Drosophila melanogaster: one gene and its partner. The protein of the gene in region 1 purifies or fractionates together with the protein of each later gene. This does not show direct contact. Each region holds a gene or a part of one and is shown in the gene's direction. Other genes may lie near its edges.

What was found. The genes of interacting proteins can lie anywhere in the genome.
Region 2: the proteins of mTTF (region 1) and mTerf5 fractionate together in Drosophila melanogaster (co-fractionation; one study listed by BioGRID). This does not show direct contact.

What each region holds. Positions count from the first base shown.
Region 1 is NT_033779.5:14,346,608-14,350,347, reverse strand, and holds mTTF (mitochondrial transcription termination factor), read left to right. Parts: upstream 1-1,557; 5' UTR 1,558-1,641; coding exon 1,642-2,050; intron 2,051-2,114; coding exon 2,115-2,695; intron 2,696-2,750; coding exon 2,751-2,993; 3' UTR 2,994-3,109; downstream 3,110-3,740. Other genes in the region: l(2)34Fc (lethal (2) 34Fc), read left to right, coding at 568-639, 709-1,116; Send2 (spermathecal endopeptidase 2), read left to right, coding at 3,694-3,740. UniProt on the Drosophila melanogaster protein: Transcription termination factor. Binds promoter DNA and regulates mitochondrial replication and transcription.
Region 2 is NT_033777.3:18,221,556-18,225,308, reverse strand, and holds the start of mTerf5 (mitochondrial transcription termination factor 5), read left to right. Parts: upstream 1-1,626; 5' UTR 1,627-1,878; coding exon 1,879-2,068; intron 2,069-2,120; coding exon 2,121-3,099; intron 3,100-3,150; coding exon 3,151-3,375; intron 3,376-3,434; coding exon 3,435-3,723; 3' UTR 3,724-3,753. Other genes in the region: CG7168 (uncharacterized protein), read left to right, coding at 1-333; Non3 (putative nucleolar protein 3), read right to left, coding at 400-1,126, 1,195-1,410, 1,471-1,490. UniProt on the Drosophila melanogaster protein: Binds promoter DNA and regulates initiation of transcription. Regulates mitochondrial replication and transcription. Required for normal topology and maintenance of mitochondrial DNA (mtDNA) levels.

The sequences.
Region 1 (3,740 bases):
GACAACTGGGACCGAACAAACTGCATAATAAACGTTGGCGTTGACAAACTGCATAATTGGAGCTAGTTTTCAATATATTTGCGCCTGCCCACGTATACAAGTGTAAACTTTGAAAAGGAAAAAAAAAAAACTAAATAAATAAAAAACTTAAGCAAAGTCAAACTGGCCAAGGCCAGTGAAAAAAGTCTCACTTGAGTGGAAATGTTAATTAATTAATTTATGAAAAACTAGTTAACGCAATTAAGCAGCATGCACGAATCTAAAAATGTTAAACAATGACCGGCAGTAAATATATTTTAATATGTAATTGGATTCAACTTGAAAGCACTAGAAGTTGAAAGTAGAAACATTGACAAGTACTTGTGTCATTAAAACTTGTTCTGCTTAAGCATATTCGGTTATGGAAAATGGAAGGATTTCGCACACTCACTTGGTGCGCTTCGTCACTACGTGGACTGTTCTTCACAGTGATGTAGCATAATTAAGCCAACCAACTGGATTTTAATCGTTACTAAAGCGATGTTTCCAACTCATGTGATATTATTTTTAATTTTCCCTTAAACAGATATGTTCCGTTTGTTGGTTCTTGCGGCCTGCCTGGCCATCAGTGTCCACGCCTACTCCGATGGTGCTCCAAAGGTATGAACCTGCCCCATCGAAATACATGACGGATAGATTCCTTATATTCCCATCTTCATTATCCCAAAGGCCGCCTGTCGTGACCTGACGCCCCAGCACGGAGCCAAGCTGCAGGTGACCAAGCCGCCGTACAGCATCTCCGGACCCTCCCATGTGCGCTCGGATCAAAAGCTGACCCTGACGCTGGGCGGCGATGAGTTCCTTGGCTTCATGATCCAGGCACGCGATGGCCAGAACCGCGTCGTCGGCCAGTTCCAGGTGGTGGACTCCGTGCACTCGCAGACCTTGGACTGCTCCGGCAAGGACGACACCATCACCCATCTGAGTGCGCAAAAGGGCAAGCCGCTGACCGGCATCACCTTCGACTGGATTCCGCCAGCAGGCTACAAGGGCAACGTCAAGTTCATGGCCACCGTGGTGCAGACCGGATTCGTTTACTGGGTGGGTCGCGTCACAAAAGACATCGATGTGGAGTAGTGCTTGTGATAGATGTTTTCATGATTTGTTCAAAATCCTACAAGTCTTTGTTTAGCGTTAATGTTCCGATTAGCTTTGGAGCGTAGTATTTTTGAAAATAAAATCAAAAAGTTCGTTGATAAAATGGGAGTGATTTCAATTGTGGGACTCTCTGTCTAAGAATGCTTAGTAGATTTGAAAATAAATATTGGAAGTGTTTCACACTTATATTTAAAAAGTGTATGTGTATGTTATTGTGTATGAACCAGCACACTTCCTAAACATATTATGAAATCAATTGCACCTAGAAAAGTTATTATATTTTCCTAGAAAACAAATGCTAAATTTATTAAATTGCTGTTCCGAATAACGGTCATTATTTTCAAAACCGATAACGATAATTGTTTGAGTGTCGTATACTCCAGCTTTCAGTTGGCCCACTTGGTCAGCTGTTTATCGCCGCAACATATCAGCTGTTTTCCGCTTGTTTTATAAGTTGAAGAACTTTATTTTCTGTCTTGATTCTGTAAATTAAGCAAATTCGGGATGATTAGAAGCCTTCTGCGCAGCTTTGAGACGGCACTCAAGCTGCATGCCGGCTTAAATATGCACCCAATGCACTGCAGCAGGCGCCTACTCTTCTCGCAGTACGAAAACCGCGCCAGTCCGAGCAGACTGACCTCCAGTGGCACTTTAGGTAGCAACGAGGCGGAAAACGATTATGTGCCTTATCGCCAGGATCGGGAGACTGGAACCAAGACGCGGGTGCTCCTCGAAGCTCTGCGGGAACGTTTTCGCTTCACGGACGCTGAGCTCCAAAAGATAATCAGCGACGAGCTGGTGCACCGCTGCTACCGCGGTAGATCACTGACTCTGGTCATGGACACACTGCAGCTAGAGGGCGTTAGCAGGCGCAGCTTCGTGGAGTATCCTTGGCTACTGTCGCTGGACAATAGTAAGCTCATTTGCTTTATATCCTTTATGTGATTAAATCATCGGTTATTTGTTTATCTATTCAGAACGCTTGGAGCTAAAGATGCAGCTACTCAAGTCAATGGACTTTAAGGACATCAATCATTTTGTGCCTTTCCTGCGCCTCACTGTTCCACGTCTTCGAAAACTGGTGGGTGCTCTGAACTCTGAGAGGGATGCAATGCCACAGCGAAATCGTGTCTACTATATCAGCGAAAAGCTGGATGTCAGCCCCGATATTGTGAGCAAATATCTATCGAAGAGGCTGTTTATCCTGGAAATGCCGTTCGAGATGTTCGAAAAGAACCTGCAGCACATGATCGACTACAATGTGTCGCCAATAAACGTACTCAAGGATCTATGGGCCTTTCGCTATACTCCAAAGTCTGTTCAGTTGCGTTTGGAGCGCGCCAAGCGGGCGAAAAAGGACAAGATCATGCCGTGGATGGTGCGCTGCCCGGAGCCAATACTGCAGCGCTCCCTGAAGCTTTCTCTCGACGAACTGAAGGTTTTGGGAGAGTTCTCCTCCGTGGTGGAATACTTAGCGCATCGTCTTGGTTTCAGCACCAGTGAAGCCAAGGCAATCATGGACAAACATCCGCAGGTGCACACCGTGCGAGTTACCAAGGTAAGTCACAATGGGTTAACTCAAACAATCATAAGCTATACAATTTTGCCTTCAGATCAAAGAGGTGCTAGACTACCTACTCGATGAGGCCCAGTTTACCAGATTTGAGGTCGCTCAAAATCCTCGAATTCTATGCCACAGCCTGAAAACCACAAAGGAGCGCATGGAAGAACTGAAATCGCACGGTTGTCGACCCTCCTCTCTTGTAATTCTTTGCCGCAGCCGGAGGGAGTACGATAAGTTTTTGCAGAACTGGATAAGCCATGAAAGAAATCCGCAAAGTGTATCAGAAGGATGATGAACTGACGAATGACCTGATGCCATCACCGTGAAAGCTTAAAAAGTTGTTGTAAAGTTAAGATACTTTTTTCAAAAGTTTTGCCACGAAATTGAACACGATTAAAAGCCAATATTCAAAAAACGTTATTAATTACGACCAGGGGACCGCTGTTATGATGGTATCTTCATTTTTAAAGGACCCTTAACAAGTAAGGTTTCCATAATATTGTAAGGAAACCAATCAGGGAACCTTTTCGATTTCAATAGGTTTTTTAACCACCAGTCGGATTACTCGTCCTGCGGACAGAAAGTTTAGTTTGTTTAGTTTGGACGACTCTCTGCAGTCATTCTACCACTTCGGATGGCTTAATCAGTTGGAAATTTTCTTTCAACATTTATAAACGCAGAACAAACCAAATTGCAAACTTAGTTAATTAGAAAATTCCAGAAATGTTATTGCCCCTCCACATTTTCACCGTTAGCGATAAAAATTTCTTGAAAGCAAAAGGCAGCTAAATTATTTATGATGTTTATATTTAGCGAATGAAGTATTTTTCAATATTTTGATTGCTTTACAAGAATAGAGAATATTCTATATCTAGATACATAAACTATTACTGAGGTTCAAATAGAATATTGCTAACTGAGTTGTGTATAAAAGACTGGTTACTTTGGACGTGAAGCCACTGCAATTCAAAGTATCATACAAACTGGTCAAGATGTTCATCCAAAGCTTCCTGTTGCTATTGGCGCTCAATTCCCTGTC
Region 2 (3,753 bases), on another chromosome or scaffold:
ATACGTGCCTATCGGCTGGTCAACCTGGACTGGCGACTGGAGGTGCGCACCGCGTCGCGGAGCCTGCTGGATCAGTGTCAGGTGGTGGTGACTATGAAGCTATATCTGCACACCGAACCGAAGAATGAAAACCGAGAGCTGCTGGCGGTGGACATCTCCGGGCGCAGCGAACAGGAGCTGAAGGCCATGCAGGAGGACGAGCGGCTGCATCGAAAGGATTTGCTAGTGCAGACGGATGTCTGCAGTCTGGTGCACATGATCAAAACGCTGGAGGACGCGTTGGCCGAGTCCAAGACGCGGCGCATTCGCAATATTGTCGACGGAATACACTGATACGACTCCAGAACTCATACACTTGTTAAAGCTAATTTAATCAGGACCAATTTATTACAACTAAAATTAACTAGAGAAGGGATTGTTTCCTTGTGAGGCCAGTGCTTCGGCGGCGGCCGCCTTCAGAGCAACCTTCTTGCGCTGTCGGTTCTCCTTCTTCTCCTCCGGCGTCTTACGCAGCGCCTTGACGCGACGCGTTTGAATGGAGCCCGTTTGCTGCTTGCCCAGATGGACACGTCCCTTGGTGTTGCCCAGGGCGTCTGTGCTAATGTTCTTCTTCTTGCCCACCTTCAACTGCTTGGGCTGTTTGCGTGCCTGTTTGTACAGATCCTCGCTGGCGATCTTGGTGCGGCGAATGGAGAAGTCGGCCGAGGGTCCGATCTCTTCAAGCTCTATGCGCGGCGTCCTCTGGCCAGATTTCTTCAGCAGTATCCGGTAGGAACGCATCAGTATGTTCATGTCATCGGTAACCGTGAAACTCAGAACGTGTTCGATGCCCTGCAGCCGGATCGAATCCACCTTCTCGCGCTGGAAGGTGTCGATGAACAGGTTGCGAAGGCGCCTCAGTTCCTCGGTCTGTGCCCATTTCGGACCATTGAACACCAGGCAGGGCTTGACGCAGGCTCCGATTTTCTCGTTCTTAAACTCGGAAATCGCCTGATACCGCTTGATGCCCAGTTCAAACATGTCCAGCACCTCGTTCTCGAAGATCCTGCCCAGTATAATGTTATCGGGTCGCTTCTTGGACGTGGAACCGAACGTGAACAAAGCAGCATCGTTCTTCATGGTCAAGCTGGTGATTCGAATGATGTTTACAATTAAATACACTACATTTTAGTTGTTTGCTTTGTCCAAACTTACAACTCCAGAGATGAGGGATCGTCAAAGGGGGTAATGTCGTTTTTGCGGTTCAGCACTTTAACCAGCGGCTTCTTCAGCGCCTGCAGGTCCTTCATGCACAGCTTCACATTGCCGCCGCACTTCCTTCCGTCCAAAAACAGCATTGTGCGGGCGGATTCAATGAGTTGCGGCTCCCTGGCCAGCAACACCTTCTTTCCCTTGCGGGTTTTTGGTTTCCTGGAAGCGCAGTTGGTTTGATTTCATTTGCATTTCATGGGCTTCATCTCCAATGCTTACCTGATGCGTAAAAGCGACATATTTAAATGTTTTGAAATAAAAACCAAGTCAAATAAACTATAATTCACGCGCACGTGTAACAACGCTGCGGGGTTAGGGATGTGAAAACAACCGTCGTCGTATCGATGAAATTGATTTGCCGGCCGTATCGATAGTTGATTACCTACCACAAGATCAAGGGAGAATACATTTTCTGCACACTCAAAGCCTTTTTGCAACTCAAACATTGAACAAAATAATATTAGAAATATTAAATATATAATATAAATTATATTATATTATTATATTTTGATTTTTTCCCTTTGTATATATGTGCTCCCATCACTAGCTGCAACAGTTGTCATTCACCCCGATAACAGTTACGTTTCTTTGCCGTTTGTAAATAAATCTGCGGGAAATGTTATAATTATGCTGCGCAACGGCCAGAATCAAGCGCAATTGCTGGCCCGGAGCCTTGGACAGCTGGCGCGGGGAATGGCCAGTTCGAAACGGGTCAGCAGTAAGAAGGAGGATCTCAAGCCAAAACTGCCAAAGCCACCGACAGTCGAGATTCCGATGGAAGAGCCGCTGAATGCCAGCTATTTGTCCAAAACTCTGGGTAAGCTAAGGCTTTAAAGTTGATTTAGGGAGTCACTATTGCGTCTTTATAGGTAGTTCCTATCGTTCTTGGGCGGCAGCCTTAGAGAAGCACCCAGAGCTCAAGACGTTAAAGCGCAAGGACTTGCTAAGCTCCTACGACACTTTGAAATCACTGGACTATAGTGTGGACGACATCATAGCGAAACCCATGATCATCTATTATGGCGCCACCACTTTGGCCAATCGCCACAGTGTCTTGCAGGAGTGCGGCTTCCACAACGTGACTGTCCAAACGCTGGCCAAGTATGTGACGGTGGTCAACAAGCCGATAGAAGTCTTGAAGGCACATAATTACATCCCCTTCGATGTGAAGGTGGCGGAGCGTCTGGCGGGATATTTTAAGGATATCAAGCTGCCGGTGGATTTACGGGAGCTGGAGAGTGAGACCCTCACACTGAAGAGCTTGAGACAATCCCTGATCAACGCTTACCTGCGTGAACGTCTCCAGATGGACGACAACGATCTACAGAAGCTGTGGCGCGTTTACACGCGCATCCGCCACAAGAGTTTTCGAGCAGTGCAGGACACCATTGAACTGCTGACCAAAGAGTTTAATTTTTCCGCCGAGCGGCTAAGGAAGAACAGTTTTCTGCTCTATTCGGAAGCAGATAACGTGCGGCGCATCCTGCGAGAGGTGCCTACCATTGACTCGCAGGACATACGAGAAATCGGCTTTCGCAGACCCAAGATTTTGATGTCCACCTGCGATAGCTTGAAGCAAACACTGCAGCACGTCCACGCTTTCGGCATCAGTGAGGATGCCGTTCTCCGCTGCCTGGAAGTGCTCACCCTTGGACCGGATACGGTTCTGGAGCGACTAAGGGATCTGCAGGAGATCGAGGAGTTTCAAGTCTTGGGTACCAATCCGCGAATCCTGAGACTGGTCCACTACCAGAACAAGGCGCGACTGCGTCTGGATTATCTCAATCAACTGCGGGTTCGGTGCGCCTCCTTGCACATCCTTTCTTGTGGGTCCGAGGCGTTCGCTAAGTAAGAATCTTATCAGCTTATTGACTGACTAATCAAATAACCATGTTCCAGATTTGCCAGAGATGGCTCAGATCGTACTAAAGGCCGCGATATAGTCGTCTACTTGAGTAATGTTTTGGGGAAGGACGTGCAAGTGCTGCGCAATCTTCTCTCTCGCCATCCCAACTGGTGCCATATACCATTGCTGCACGTGAAGCAGTGTCTGGAGTACTTACGCAGCAAAAAGTTTAAACTTAATGAGATATTTGCGAACATACACTTGCTGCTTTATCCCATGTGAGTGGTACAATTAATTTACAAGCGATTTTGCCCTAATACTTTTTGTTTCTACACAGCAAACGTATTGAAGAAAAAATGCTCCTTTTGCAATCACCCGATGCGCAAGAAGATCTGCAGTTGCCAGTGGCGAATTTCGATTCGTTAAGCAACAACGAAATTCTGACTCTCATTCTCTACCTAATCGAATCGGAGTTCCACTTCACGGGCGACGGCATCTGGACGGAGCAGCATACACATCACGTGGAGAACTTCAACAATCTACTGCCCGACTTTCCGGAAAGTCTCAATAAGGTCTACAAGTACGGCGTAAAGCCTGCAGAGAAAATGATTATGGAGCGCTTGTAGGTGCCTCCAATATAATTGTAAATAGCTTGT